2 linked regions of the Schizosaccharomyces pombe genome follow. Changing the gene in region 1 together with any one later gene gives a genetic interaction. Each region holds a gene or a part of one and is shown on either strand. Other genes may lie near its edges.

What was found. A genetic interaction does not mean that the proteins touch.
Region 2: mutations in frp1 (region 1) and ssp2 together harm fitness less than expected from each alone (positive genetic interaction), as found in Schizosaccharomyces pombe (one large-scale study listed by BioGRID).

What each region holds. Positions count from the first base shown.
Region 1 is NC_003423.3:157,805-166,053, forward strand, and holds frp1 (Fe(3+)-chelate reductase Frp1), read right to left. Parts: upstream 4,589-8,249; 5' UTR 4,352-4,588; coding exon 2,657-4,351; 3' UTR 2,553-2,656; downstream 1-2,552. Other genes in the region: hexose transporter Ght4 , read left to right, coding at 1-1,424; Fe(2+) transporter Pcl1, read right to left, coding at 6,626-7,354. UniProt on the Schizosaccharomyces pombe protein: Metalloreductase responsible for reducing extracellular iron and copper prior to import. Catalyzes the reductive uptake of Fe(3+)-salts and Fe(3+) bound to catecholate or hydroxamate siderophores.
Region 2 is NC_003421.2:1,926,649-1,933,923, forward strand, and holds ssp2 (serine/threonine protein kinase AMPK catalytic (alpha) subunit Ssp2), read right to left. Parts: upstream 5,327-7,275; 5' UTR 5,210-5,326; coding exon 5,062-5,209; intron 5,010-5,061; coding exon 4,777-5,009; intron 4,569-4,776; coding exon 4,217-4,568; intron 4,167-4,216; coding exon 3,169-4,166; 3' UTR 2,542-3,168; downstream 1-2,541. Other genes in the region: ppn1 (cleavage and polyadenylation specificity factor complex-associated protein), read right to left, coding at 1-769, 821-1,031, 1,152-1,232, 1,391-1,559. UniProt on the Schizosaccharomyces pombe protein: Serine/threonine protein kinase essential for release from glucose repression via the phosphorylation of scr1 upon glucose deprivation.

The sequences.
Region 1 (8,249 bases):
GCAAAAAATACTCCATTGCCTTCTTTAGCGGTTGTTACATTATTGGTCAAATTCTTTTGGTAACTGCTGTTCCTTCTTGGGTTCAGATTATGGTTGGTAAGTTATTTACAGGTTTAACTATTGGTGCTTTGTCGGTGTTGAGTCCTGGATACCAATCTGAAGTTGCTCCTCCGCAAATTCGTGGTGCAGTTGTTTCGACCTATCAACTATTTCAAACTTGCGGTACTTTAATCGCTGCTTGTATCAATATGGGAACTCATAAACTTCGTAAAACAGCGTCCTGGAGAACTTCCTTTGGCATTAACATACTTTGGGGTATCTTTTTGATGGTGGGTGTACTGTTTTTACCTGAATCACCGCGTTACCTCATCTATAAGGGAAGAGATGAAGAGGCTCTTCGAATCATGTGTCAAACTGCTGAACTAGATCCTGAGAGTGAAATCATTCAAACCAATTTTAATACCATTAAGAGTGATATTGAAATGGAAATGGCTGGAGGTAAGGCAAGATGGCCTGAGGTTTTTGGAAAAGAAGTTCGCTATCGTACTGTCTTGGGATTCCTTACTATGTTACTGAGAGAATTGATTGGTAATAACTATTACTTTTATTATGCTACACAAGTTTTCAAGGGAACTGGTATGACGGATATATTCTTACCAGCCGTTATTTTAGGTGCTATTAATTTTGGTACAACGTTTGGTGCTTTATACACAATTGATAACTTAGGACGTCGTAACCCACTAATTTTTGGAGCTGCTTTCCAATCGATATGCTTCTTTATATATGCCGCTGTAGGCGATCGAAAGCTCATATATAAGAATGGTACTAGTGATCACAGAGCAGGAGCTGTAATGATTGTGTTTTCTTGTTTGTTTCTTTTCTCTTACTGCTGTTCTTGGGGCCCAATGGGCTGGGTTATTGTCGGCGAAACCTTTCCAATACGGTATCGTAGCAAATGTGCTGCTGTAGCCACATCGGGTAATTGGCTGGGCAACTTTATGGTTTCATTCTTCACTCCTTTCATCTCAAATTCTATTGGGTTCAAACTTGGATATATTTATGCTTGTATCAATATGACTTCTGCGTTTCAAATATTTTTGATGGCCAAAGAAACTAAAGGCCTTACCTTGGAAGAAGTTAATGAATTATACGAGTCTGACATTAAGCCATGGGATTCCTATAAGTACGTGAGACAAATTGAATCTCGTCGTATACACTTCAGTAAAGAAGAAGAAAAGCGAGAAAGAGAGAAGTCAAAAGGATACCGCGGTCAAGAAGAACGTTTTATCGAAAATGCAGATGGTGCGGATAATGACGATAGCAGCGCTTCTTCAGAATCCTTTGCATCTGCTGGCGCACACTCCAGATCGGTTTTTCCTAGGAGGTCAAACGTGTCAGAAGAATCACACCCGACTTGGGTATAATCCGTGTCATCAAAATTTATATAGCGTTATTGCATTTTATTTTTCATGGTCTTTGTTCTCACTTACATTATAAAGTAATACTTTGCTTGCAAAGAAAACCTTAAAGCATAAATTAACATTTTTAAATATGATTTGGAAGTGACTAGTTTCATGAGGATAGTTAGCCTTTCATTTATGAATATGCCAGTGGACATATAATACCGTTTCGAGAAGTTTCAAAATTTCCACGAATGCGGAAGTGAAATTAATAGTTTTAGTTCTACGTCTTTACTGTTAATATTTCGCTTGTTCAGCTAATGAAATAAAAAATTATAAGAAATGATTGAAAGTTTGCAAAATAAGGATTAATATTACTTATTGTTGATGTTCATTAAATATTGTAGTGCTCTGAGGACGTTATGGTTTCCCTTGACGTTGGGGTTGTCTCTTTACCTTCAATGCATCGCACAATTTGTTAGAAGCTAGTGAGTCACAACTGAGTATTGTTTTCCGTAGCAGCAAAAAGTAAATGTTTTTGCTCAGAAAACAAAAACTTACGCATAAACAACAAGAGATAATTTAATTTGAATTAAAGAGACACCTGATTTTCACTCAACTGTAAGCATTACTGAAACGAAAATACTGCAATTAGGTAAGGAAGAGTACTTCCAGACTTCGGAGTGAATACTAAATCACCCATGATTTTAAAACAACCAAGTAGAGAACCAGTTATTTGCAAATTATTACAATGTACCTACCATGTTTACACATAGACTCCGTTTGCTTTTGGAAATTTCTTTTAAGCTAATTTGTAACTAAGGACGATTATTTATATTCACTTCGTCATAATTTTCGTATACAAGCTCATTATTTCTCTATGTTAATATATTGGACCAGACTTAATCTTCTAATCTTTTAAATTAAAAAAAAGAGAAAAATAGTCTTGAGGTTTCTTTTGGATTCAAGAAGACTTCGTTTTTTCGAGTTAACTTGATTGTATGATTTTCTTACCAAAGTTTGGATCAACATAAGCTACCGTTAGATAAAGACAATACAGTTTCGTAACTTAAACCATCAAATTAATTAATGTATGCTTTTCTAAATGTAAAGCGAAAATTAGATGGAATTTTACGATTCTATGGAAGTATTGATTGTTTTACAAGCAACTTAGTATCTAAATAATCGGAAAATATTTTGTACACTTTCAGTAATTTGTCACCGTTAAAAGAGAGTTTTGAGGTTCATTAAATTTTTCAAATTTCTTCATAGTGTTGATAAAGATCGACAGTGGAAGGTGAGTGTGTATTGACACAGCTTTTAAGATGTCTCAGAAGCTTATCCGAGCCGCATGATGCAAGAGCGGCTGTTTGAGTACCAGTTGCATGCAGAAAATCTTTAAAATAATCATTTACATCAGGCCTTCCATTTAGGTATTGCAAACTGTAATTTCTAGCACTTTGAGAGTTTAGAGAAGAGACTTCCTCGACAGGGTAGCTGTTAGTCAAATGGCAGAATATGTTGATATTCATTTCTGTGTAACGAACAGCTTCACAAAGTGACTTATGCACGATGTTCAATAAAGCCGAAGAACGAGCAGACCAAACAAAAGTTATATGAACGGTTCTGCTTTGCTTTTTTATAGTATCCAAAATAATCGGTAAGATATACGAAACTCCAACACCTCCAGCAAACAAAAAGAGGTAAGAATAATCTTTGTATGGGTTTGAGACTGGGCCGTAAGGGCCATCCATTAGTACCGATACTTTGGCAGCCGAACTTTCGAAGACTAAGTCTTCCTGTGATAACGAATGTCTTTCCATCACTTCAATTCCAACGTCTCCATTTTTTTCTATCTTCTCATCACTAATATTGATGTCGGAGACATCACTCAAACTTTTGGAAGAGACCTTCTTGGCTAATCGCTTTGTGAAACCAGCCCTTACTGCGACAAATAGTTCGATAAAATCATCGGAAGGAACGCTCGCAATCGTGAATGGATGTATTTGCCAATAACTTAAAGAGGGAATATTAATATACATATGGTTTCCAGCACCCCAAGGTAATCCAAAGAAAGATTTTTTTGGACGAGGCCCTTTCATATAGATGAGATCGTCTTCCACCAAAACAACATCGAATTTGGAACGATTTAAAAAGCTTCTTAGCATTCTGCAGCCACGATCAAACACGTACACGGCAACACAGACCTTCATGTAAACCACACACCTTCGATGGTGGAGCCAAATAGTAATTAAAAAGCCAATGCTGCACATATGGTGCAAAACAAAAAACCATTCGTAAAATCTTCGACGGAAAAATGGCAAGCTGCTTACGATCATAATTACCATTAACCCTAAAATAACATAACCGATAATGGTGACTCTTGCAGTAAGAAGTGCCCTTTTACCTTGCGCTGCAAGACCAATGTATGCAAAGCCGTGAATAGCACCGATCATAATTGCATATTGAGAAAGACGACGATGCACATAATTCATTTTTTCGTGAGACGAAATGAGCAATAAAGCAAAAGGATTGTTTTTTATGCTAAAAAAGTAGGAAGTTACATAGAGGCCACATGCCAAAAATCCTAACCGAGCGGCCACTGCATTTTTGCTCCAATTACCAGTACTTACTTGTGTTGTTTGCTTTCCGTGAGAGCTTGCGGGAGTTTGCATGCCAATAAATGGTATTGAGATGGCGAAGACGACAGGAACAGCAATTAAAGTCAATATTACTTTGTGAGTGACAAGATACGTATAAATCTGTCGAACAAAAAGATAATATTTCTCGAGCCATATTTGCCTCTTATCTGATGGGTCATGTTTGTGTGCATTTGATTTTATTATGACCCGAAAACGCTCAAGCCAAAACATCAATATAAATGCAAGTAATATCCCAAGAATTAAGCATATTGCAATGACGGTCCATTTGTCGCTCGAATTTATCGCCATCCTTCAAATGTATAAATGTATGGAGATTCTTCTTGTTCAAAATTGTATATATTAAAAATTATTAATAATAATTAGAAAAGGGTGTAATGTAAGTGGACCGGAATGAGATATCCAATCCTTTGGGTTTGCAGTTAGCAAAAAATTAAACTGAATTTTCAGAAACTATTAGTACTCGTTCCCCAAAATCCGAGTTTCCCTACTTTCGTATGTCTATTTGTTTCTTAGTTGAAATTCGTTGAAAATGTTGTTAAAAGCGCAGCCTTATTAATATCGCATTCGATTGTCCACTTTGCTATTTGTGTCATATCTGATTATCTTGATGCGTTATCAGATCAACCAAATTTGCACCTCTGTTGTTGCAACATTTTGGACAAACATGATCGCAATAACACATTTTAGCAAAAAAGACGCATTCTTCTCAAATGTTGTCAGCTTGAAAAAAAAAATTTAACAAAGAACTTGTACAAAGCCTCCCCTCTGTAACCTCTGGAAGCCACCCCTTGCACTTTTGCAGTGGCGTAGATTCACGCGTTTACAAAGTTCATTTTGTTCAACACTGTATTTAGTGTATAGCGGAAGCGGCTGGAAGCGGGGTGTTCCTCTGACAGTCTATTTTTTATCTGATGAGCTAAAGTCATGTGCAAGCAAGCATTACTTGGAGAAAAAATACTAAAACAATTAGATGAAATGTTTGGCGAGTCGTTGGACTGTATTTTTGATGCTTCCTGCTTATGAAAATCAACAGAAACTAAACTTTTTCCCCTTGCTTTTTTTTTCCGGTCAGTACCTTCAATACTTCTCGAACAGAATAAACTATTCAATTGCGGTAATACTCATCTCATGGTATCCATCTCGTAGCTGTTTTCATAAACTACTAAGGTTTTCTGCCTTCATCGGATGCTGTTAATACGAAAGAACTATAAGTTTATTGATACTTTAAAAACTCCTTTTGTTGTACTTAAAAAGTGAAAACACCCTGCATAAATAATAGAGAAAATAATTAATATGATTCCTATGATCGGTTTATTGTGTACTTTACCACTTTGGCATGGTTGCTACACCCGAAATACTCAGCACGCATTCACTGCGAGGAATTTAAAAAAAGGAAAAGCTAACCGATCTTACCAACTTAGAAGGTATTCGGTGTCATATCGAACCGAGAAAAACTAACCGAAGCCCGTCAACTCCATGATTTAGGTTATTTTCTCACCTTGAATGAGGAACGAAACCACGCTCAGAAGTTCAGCCTCATTGAATTTTCATGAAACAATCTTCTAGCTACTTGAATCTTTTAATTAATTCGGCGTCTAGAATCCCGTTAATGACTACTTTCCCAACAAAAGTGTTCAGGAGTTCTTAAGCTAAGCTACTAAACCCTCTGGACATGCGCTATACTGTCACCAAAGGAAATGTATTACGTATCCTAACGCCATCTAACATGCTAACTTTTTTGCGTGCAAATTCGGTTACTATATTGCATATTCCATCCACGCATAGAAATACTAATTTGACAATTTTCCGACCTTGTGGATGTCAATGGTTTAAAAAAGTTATTAACTAATACTGTTCTGTAAAAAGTCAGAGTCCTAAACATTTCAACTCACATAAAATCATATGAAGATGTGTTTTTGTTTTATTTTGTTAATGAATAGAGAAATCAAGTTCATCTTTAATGTTTTAAATATCATCGATCCATCACCTTTCACCATCACAGTCTCGCAGTAAAATCAATTTCCTCTAAAAAAAAGTATTATAAAGATTTCTAATTTCAATTTTAAAAGTCCTGATGTTAGACTGCAAGACGAAATGAGGGTAACTGAAGCTCATCAAGTTTATTTTCACATGATCCTCTATAGTCCAACACGAATTCAATAAATGCCAATTAATTTCTTTCATTATTCTATTAGGTTTTAGACCATTTATAGCACACAGCAATGCTACTGATATTATTCCAAGTACTTCATTCATCGTTAGGTACAAGCTGGTGAACCAATAATTGCTTCATCCTATGTCTTCATCAATAAGACTTTACTTTGAGATAATAATGGAGAAGCCAAGCTTAATTTGATCATGAATTAGTAGCAACAACTTGATTCTAGATGCTTCCCCTCTTTAGACGTTTGGCATGTATTAAAAATTATTTCCGTAAAAAATTAGCTTAAATTAACAGGCATTTCAATGCATCTTTTATATTTTAGAAGACAATTGTTGTAAGTGTAGCAAAAAAAATTTTCAATGAACGATATGAATAAACGATTTGTCCATGAATGAAAGCTATATTGCGTACTGCAAGGATAAAGCATGAATCTCAAGTAGCCTGCCAACGAGTGCCGTGGCTGCCATAGCTAACAGACCCAAGACCACAGCTCGCAGTATTGCACGCACTCTTTTGGCACCTCCAATGTGAGCACCCACAAACCCTAACATACCAAGAAAAAACATTGTAGCAATTGGAAGAACAAGCGATAGATATTCTAAAGGAGTAATAAGAGATGTCAAAAGAGGAAATATACCACCAACTGAGAAGGAAGCTGCTGAAGATAGTGCTGCCAAAGTAGGTTTCGCTGTTGTGTGAATATTTATGCCCAACTCATCTCTAGCATGGGCTTCCAGAGCATTATATTCCATCAATTGAACGGCAACAGTACGTGATAGCTCTTCATCTAACCCTCGCCCTCTATAAATAGCGGCTAACTCATCCACTTCTGCATCCCAATCAGCGTCCATCTCTCTTCGTTCAAGTTGCAAATCGGCATCCTCTAAATCTGCCTGTGAACTCACAGATACATATTCTCCTACCGCCATTGATAGAGCACCAGACATTAAACCGGCGACGCCAGTAATGAGAATAACTTTTATATCAGCATTAGCTGCAACAACACCTACTAATAAACCCGAAAGTGACAAAATTCCATCATTGGCACCTAGCACTGATGCGCGTAGCCATCCAATTTTATTCACTGAATGGGCTTCTTTAGGACGAGCTTCGAATATACTCCACATTAGACAAAGATAAAAGTTTAACGATAGTGTAGAGGTAGTGATTGAATAATTCCTTGATAAAAAGTGCTTCTGGTTCCTATTGTAAAAAGATGAAGTTGCAAAGAACAAAATAGAAAGAAAGAAGTTGAAAACTGCAATTAGTAGGACACTGAAAACGGAGGCATGGTGTCAAAATAAATATTTGATATAGAAGCCTTTTGATTGGTCAACGGGATTAACGCGGCTTAAGAACCTTGTTTAAGTACTGATAACATCAAAATGCTGGGAATGTTTAACGCTATGTTAACTTTCGGTATCCTTAGAGGCTATCACAAATGAATTCTAAAAATGGCGGAACATTTTTTACGACTTATTTCAATCGGTGAAAATATTAACAACCTGAATAATATTTTGACTGTGTATGCCCACAAATAAGTGCTCAATTTTCATTTCTAATTATAAAATTCAGTACTTTTTGGAAGACATATCTTGCTTTTTGATTAGTAATATTAGAGTACTAGAAATGTAAACTTCTTTCATCTTTACTTAATCCCCAACATAGTTTTTGAATGGTCTAGCGATCCAGTGCCTGAGCGTGGATTTAGAAGTCGAAGACCTTGTTGCATAAGTGTCGTTTAAATAAGAGCATCACGGATGTAGGCATCCATACAGTTGGTGAAAACGACCTAAAGTAGAAATGCGAAATTAATCAATCTGTAATAGTACATTGATATGCAAGGATATGTTAATATCGAAAAAAATTGCCTAGCTTTTAATATGCCACTATATTAAGAAAAAGGGCAATCAATACTCCAAGTAACTTGTATGAACATTGCGACGTTTTAGCGAGTCGTGGATTTACAAAGACTATAATACCTCATAATCCGAAAAATGATATTCTTAAAAATGAATAAAT
Region 2 (7,275 bases), on another chromosome or scaffold:
GGCCGAAGTTGGTTTTGTAGAGCTTGCTAAATTTTTAAAGAAGGATGTTCCCGATATGCTGGTTACCTTTTTTTTAGATTTCGAATTGCTTGATTTAGTAGTTGAGGAAGCGCTTGGTTTATTAGACGCAGACGGGGCCATCGCCGGACCAGCCGGGGCCATAACGACTGCGGAAGATGAAACAGTCGAATCGTTCTTCGTAGAGCTCTTCTCATTTTCTCTATTTTGTTCAATAGTAAAACTTTTCTCGGCCAGTTCAGAAAGATTTTCAGCAAGCTGGCGTATAACGGAATTGGTAGACTTTTTTTTTACGATTAAAATTGGTTTGCCAAACTTAACCTCAGCTAGCTTCTCAGTCGTAAGAGGAAGATTAGCTAGCACGAGCAGTATTAAATGAATGAGTTCGTCGTGTTTAGAACGAATAGCTGATACAAACCAGTTACGTAGTTTAGGAAGGAACAATTTACGACCGCCGTCAACAAGTTGGCTATAAATACTATTCCCCACTTTGCTTTTAAGAAGATCTAGAAAAACTAATTTTTGATCATCTTGGGTGATATTGCTCATGAGATTAACAAGGATTGCAGCACATTCTTTTGGAGCTTGGACGATGTTAATTGGGTTTAAACACTCAGTCAGAGTAAGGCGCAAATCTTCTAACGGATCAGAGGAAGAAATTTTTTGACGAGATTTAGATTTTAATCGTGCAAGCATTTGAACGTTCACGTCTGATTTTGATGATGGTACTTCATGGGAGGCGGTATTTAAACTAAGGCGCTTCGTTAGTCATAAATAAATTTTTAAGGCAAAATAAACTTACGAAGATCCTGAATCCGGATTCCTTGAAGTATGACTTGGATTATTAACATATGGATTGGCTGAGATAGAGGTATGATTAGTATTTTGTGATTGAGAGTCATTGGAAGGAGAAATGCCAGGAGAACTTGGTTCCTTATTAGAGGACAAGGATTGTGATGGGGAGCCAGTTTGCGAAGATCCAGAAGATATGAGTGATGGATTGGATGAGGCAACTAAGATAAATATTAGCAAATTGAACGAATCAAAAAAGAAAAAGAAAAATTGAGAACATAGGAAAACTCAGTATAGTAGAGATAAAAATAAAAAGAATGAATAAACAAAAGAAAATATACCTGAAGGCATTGTAGCTAACAATGAAGCATCTTTATGTGACAGAGGTGACTGGGAGTGTTGAAACACATGAGGTTCTAAGCCTAAGGGCAACAATTAGTAGAATTCTAAGAGAAAGGATCAAAAATAGCAGAGAAAAAAGAGAGAACAAGCAATCAAGACATCACTCGCTACAGCCCGTAGAGGCAAATATTTCAAATTATTGACCAACTCTCTATCCCCGCTTTAATAGCCTGCATACCAGGGAAAGCACTCATTAACTTTTCATCTAAGTTTTCTTCTAAATCAGGACTCAGATTAATAAATTCCGGTTTTCCACTATACTCATTGGAAGTATGTGGAGGATTTTCTGACGTTTTACTTGTTTGTCTATCACTCGACACATTTCGCACGGAATTCCAATTATCCATTAATTAAATATCAAAGAGGTTCAAAGTAATACTCCGAATAAATTGAACCTTTCAGAAATTCGCACTGTGCCGATTTAATCGTTTCCTGAGGATATACGCTGAGAAAGGATCAACGTCGACTACTATTCAAGTAAGGAAACTGAACATGCAACTTTGTGAAATTCGTTGGAGTTCTCTAAACCCTTCGCTACACCATCGTGTATATTAATAGTTAAAACTAAATAAAAAAATATAATTTTAGTAGATTTTTAATTTTTTAATTATATTGACAATAATAGAAGACTTAAGAAGCATTTTTGGCGTGTGGGACTTGGTATGCCAAATGGCTTTCCAGCTGTAAACAAAATGATTCACCGTTTTTAGATCGGATCAATCTTTTCACGAATTCCGTTAGAAAAAATTAAGAATAAAAGGATATTATACTCTTATTTTTTTCTTCATTCTCTTGTGATTTTGAACCCATCTCTTTTTCCTCATACATTAACCGGTCTTCATATTAACGTCTGTTATTAGATAGTAAACATAATTTATACATTGTTTTTTTTTTTTGAGAGTAAGCTGTGCACCAGTTCTATGAACGGAGTATTTTTATTTATTTTTTGCAGAATGGAACAAATTAATCTATATACTAACTGTGGAATGTATGAATCCTTTAGACAAAATGAATGAAAATACCTTCTACAAATTTTGAGGAATATATAGTAGGATTTTCAAATAATTTAAATATTGAGACATACAAAAATTAAGAATACCAATCATTTGTTCTCGTTTCATAATTCACATTTTGTGTCTATAACTTTCTTTATTAGCTTTTTTCTTTATCACACTAAAGTTGACATTTCTATTGACATTCTTTATGAAAAGAAATTTGCAAAATTTGATGTACAGATGTTTTAACAATTTTTTTTTTAAAAAAAAAAGGGGGGGGGGGGAATTGCTTTCTTCATAAAGTTCAACTAATTACAAACAAGCTAGCATAGTATTTTAAATAGAATTGGTTTGTATTTGAATTAAAGTAAAGATAAAGGAAAATAATACTCTTTATGGACTAGTTCCTCGATGTCGCAGCTGCAAGTCGTTCTTAAATTGCAAAAAAAAATTGCATATTAACTAGTCTTTGATTTGATTCTCGTTTACATTAACATAAACGTATAAATTTTTTTTTTCTTAACGGTTTTCTTTATTATTAAAAGAAAGGTGAGCATATATAATCAACATCGTCATGCATATAGATAAATGGGAAATTTCAGTTATCAGAGAAAACCCGCATGAAAAGTAAAAGGACTCAATAAACTCCTAACATTCAGTCATTCGATTATTTCATATCAACAAATGTATTATGGTTATAACAAGATAAATACTTAACGAGTGAAACCAAAATCTTCTGTAAACCGTTGATAATACAATGGCACTAAATTCATCAATTCATAAATGTTTCAACAGAAAATGGCGGTAATTAATCCGGACACTAGTATCTTCATGCAACCTTATTCGCTAAAAGAAAAGGTAAAAAAAATAAAATGTGTCTTTGCTATTGAGTAGATTTGTTCAACAATGGGTAATTAAGGGATGCTTGAAAACAGCGTGTTAAATGGGGAGTTACAATAAATCATGCAGAAAATAACTTGCACACCAGCATAGCACACAAATCTAAAAATGGGAAAGATGACTTAAGATCATCCATGCCATGATCAGCTGTTCGTTCAGGATGAGAATAAATATCTTTGTAACCATTAGATTTCACATCTAGCATAAAACACCCGGGCATAACTTCATAAAGTTGTAACTCAATATAAGCATAAGTATTTTTTCCTTCCCTTTTACAATGAGGAATTTCCCAACGACTTTTAATGGTATACATGTCTGATCGATATTTTCCATTTACTGGTTTTGGAACGGTAAACTGAGCTCCTGCACGTTGTAAAGCTCGATACACAGCCAACAAAATTTCAGGTGCATCGCCCCGGCAGCGAACACCAAAATGCCATTTGTTACGGCGACTCTTTTTGCGAGTGGATTGGCTCGTATCCACAGCACTAGCAGCATCGGCAAGAGTCCTCATTTCAAGTTTATTTTTTTCTGCCGTAGGCACAAGGACACATATGTTACTGTCAATTGTTTGTTTAGCATATGTTGGAGGGTCGGAGACTGTCCAACGCGGTCCTTCTAAAGTAGGATCGATAAGCTCCTGTTTTGACTTCTTTTGCAATTCAGAAGTATATTCTGAAAATGCGGGTGGAGATACAGATAGAAAAGAATCGACTCGTTTTGATTTGGAGAGATGACTCTTTTCTTGGATTACTTGATTTTCATGTAGCAAGTTATAAGCCTCTTTTACTTCATTATTTTCATCTGAACGTAAAGCTTCGACAATGTAATCCTCCGAGAACCCCATTGCCTCACCAAGCTTGCTGACAATTCGTGAATCAGCATAAGAGCCTTGGACCTCCTCCATAGGACGTAAATAATCGGGTAAATTAACGTTGAACCAAGGGTCCCGACGTATTTCCTGAATTGTTATCCTCTGCATTGGATCTGCAACAATCATTCGGCGAATTAAAGATTGTGCTCCGGGAGAAAGAAAATCAGGCATAACATAAACACAACCTAAATACGTTTAGCAAGAGATAAGTAGAAAAAAAAGTGGCCAAACATACTGTTAACTTTTTTAAACAAATTGGGGATAAATTCATCGTCGAAAGGAAGACGACCCACCAACATCACATAGAGAACAATGCCGCAACTCCAAACATCGACTTCTGGACCAGCATACAATTTCCCGTTGATAACTTCCGGGGCTGCATAATTTGGACTGCCACAGGACGTTTTTAGGAAATTACCGTCTGTCATAATATTTGATAAACCGAAATCAGCAATCTTTACGTTGAGATTGTCATCCAACAACAAATTTTCGGGTTTAAGATCGCGATGTACAATTTTGTGACGGTGACAGTACTCAATTGCACATATAATTTGTTGAAAAAAACGACGACCCTCATCTTCAGTCATCTTTAAAAACAGTCAGCAAATACATAAATTCGTGCATTCAAATTTGTAAACAAGCCTTCATCAGCAACATTTCAGATGCAAAAACAATTTATCTTTTTCTATTTTTAAAAAAGACAATCGGATAACTTGTACATTTTGACAAATCAAACCAATCCAACATCACTTCTGAAATTTACTGTAACAAAAACTCGCAAACCGCACCACTTACCCTTTTCTTTTCTACAATATAATCAAACAATTCACCACCTGCATATTCAATTACCATAACGATATCTGTGGGCGTGGTTATCACATCATACAATTTAATAATATGAGGATGTCGCAAAAGCTTCAAGTATGAAATTTCACGCTCCACACGCATATGCATATCGCTTTTCTTTAGCAATTGACGGGAGATAAACTTGAGAGCAACTTTCTGTTGCGTTTTGTAATGAGTAGCGACTACAAGTACGTTAGTCTCTATTCTCATGATATTAAATATTAGCAATCTTACGCTTGACTTTGCCAAAAGAACCTTCACCAAGGGTTTCCCTTATAATATAAGGGCCGATATGGCGCTTGGATATGGCTTCTGGTGGTAAAACTCTTGCTCCATTTCGCATGGTTGAGTTCTCCATTAAATCAACCTCCTGCGGTTGCATTATCAGCTATTCGCTTGGCAAATCCAATATTGAAAGTTTATTGATAAAATCTTTTTTTCCTTAATAGCAAGGCTTAAATTTCAGAGTGTGAGATAAATATATAATTTGGTAGAAGGCAAAGCCATAGTATACATCCTTAGTTGTGTCACATGAGATGATATGAATTGGACTCGTTAATTCGTTTAAAATAACACTATACAGTTTTTTAAGCCACCGTTTTACTAGTTAACGAAGTTGCGTCACAATGCGGAATTTTACTCAATGAATTAAAATTCTACTACACTATTCATTTTAATGCAAACTGCAAACTCTTATTTAACTAACCCAGTTAACTGTTCCAATAAAATACTTATACATGTTACAGTGTTCGCATTTCAATCTTGGCTGTATAAGTAATAACATGATCCAAGTATGATTAAGCAGTTTATTATGTTTGTAAAGAACCCATCCCAGATATAATGGAACACACGGCGTACCCCACAGTCTTCATAAGATGGTTGTTAAGTGCAGCGTTGTGTATCGCATTATAACGCTCTTGTCAAATCTTCGTTGAGTTTGTAAACAATTAAGTACTGGTTGAGTTAATACAAAAAAAAGGAAATGAACAAGCTTTTTATTAGAAAAGAGTCTTCATATTGGATGTGATTTCTCAGCAACATTTAAACAGTGATCATGAATATAACGAGCCTGAACTGATTTCATTTGTTTACAAGGCACACAGACTAATTATCACTGTTTCTTGCATGAAAGTCTTTGCTTTGACGAAAAAATTTAATATTCTAAGAAAAGCTATCAATCAAAATCCAAATAAAAATTTTTTTAGAAAGCAGGGAAGTGTTTTCGAAGTCAACAACTTGTATGATAATATAAGAATGCAATAAAAATACAGCGCAATTTACCCTGAACGAATTTTATAGCTTGTTTGGGGTAAATCACAATCACAGGAATGCTTTTTTATTTGGACATCCTCGTAAACAAGTTTCGTGTAAAAAGCATCTTTGTAATTCAAATAGTAAAGTTAGCATGTGATTGGACTTTATTTACAAAATTCATTTCACACGATGAATAGAGGTTTCTTCATTCACATGCTGTCTGGCATCACGATCTATAGGTGTTAAGCAAACACATTTAAAGTGATACTTTTTTATATAATAGAATATGCCACCATAAGTTAGTTCGCAAATTTTTAGCTTTAGGTCAAACTACGCAATTAAAACTTTGCGCTACGTGTAGTAGTACGGTAAATTTCGTTGTGGTTTATTAATTATAGTATACAGATATCATGAGTAGCAATTAATTTTATGTATTGATATATGGGTTAAATCGTTACCCATCACTAAACTAGCTTATAAGTGAATGTCGTTCCTGAGTTCAATTTGGCTCTATTTATATTTCATCCTAATTTATTAAACCACAAACATTCTAGATGAACAGTTATCCGCGATTATCAGTATTTAAACGGGTCTTAAAACTATATTAACATAAGGAAACATGCTGATACACAACGTAATGTATTTTAACGCAGGGTAGTATTGCTGACACTAATTTGCAATGACTTTCTTGTTAACTCGCGTTTTAGTAAATAAAAACATTAATTTCGTTTAATTTGAAATTAAAGCAAAAAGACATTATATGTTTTCCTAAAATCATTAATGATGTAGACATATCAATGCCTTGCCAACTCGCGAATTAACATGTTTATCGTATTGTTGTCAGCAAACGGGATAAGAGTTTTGCCTCATATTGCTTGGCAAACAGTAAGTCTACTTTCTTTTTGAATTTAATTCATGAACGAGTTAAAAATTTTGACACAAATTCTTGTTTCTGCAGTACAATGATTTGCTTGTCGCACACATTCACAGTCATTGTATAACTATCCTCGTGTAAACATCGCAGATCTCTACATTGCAAACGTCCTCTATTTCAGTATAGTATAACTCTATCTAATCCTTTGTTCATTTCAAAATGCCAAGTTTGAGGTATGGATTAGGGAGATACTCTTTCATGTTGCTTGTTCAAAGAGAAAAATATTAAAAATCGAGGAAATTCAGAAGAACAAGAAAAGT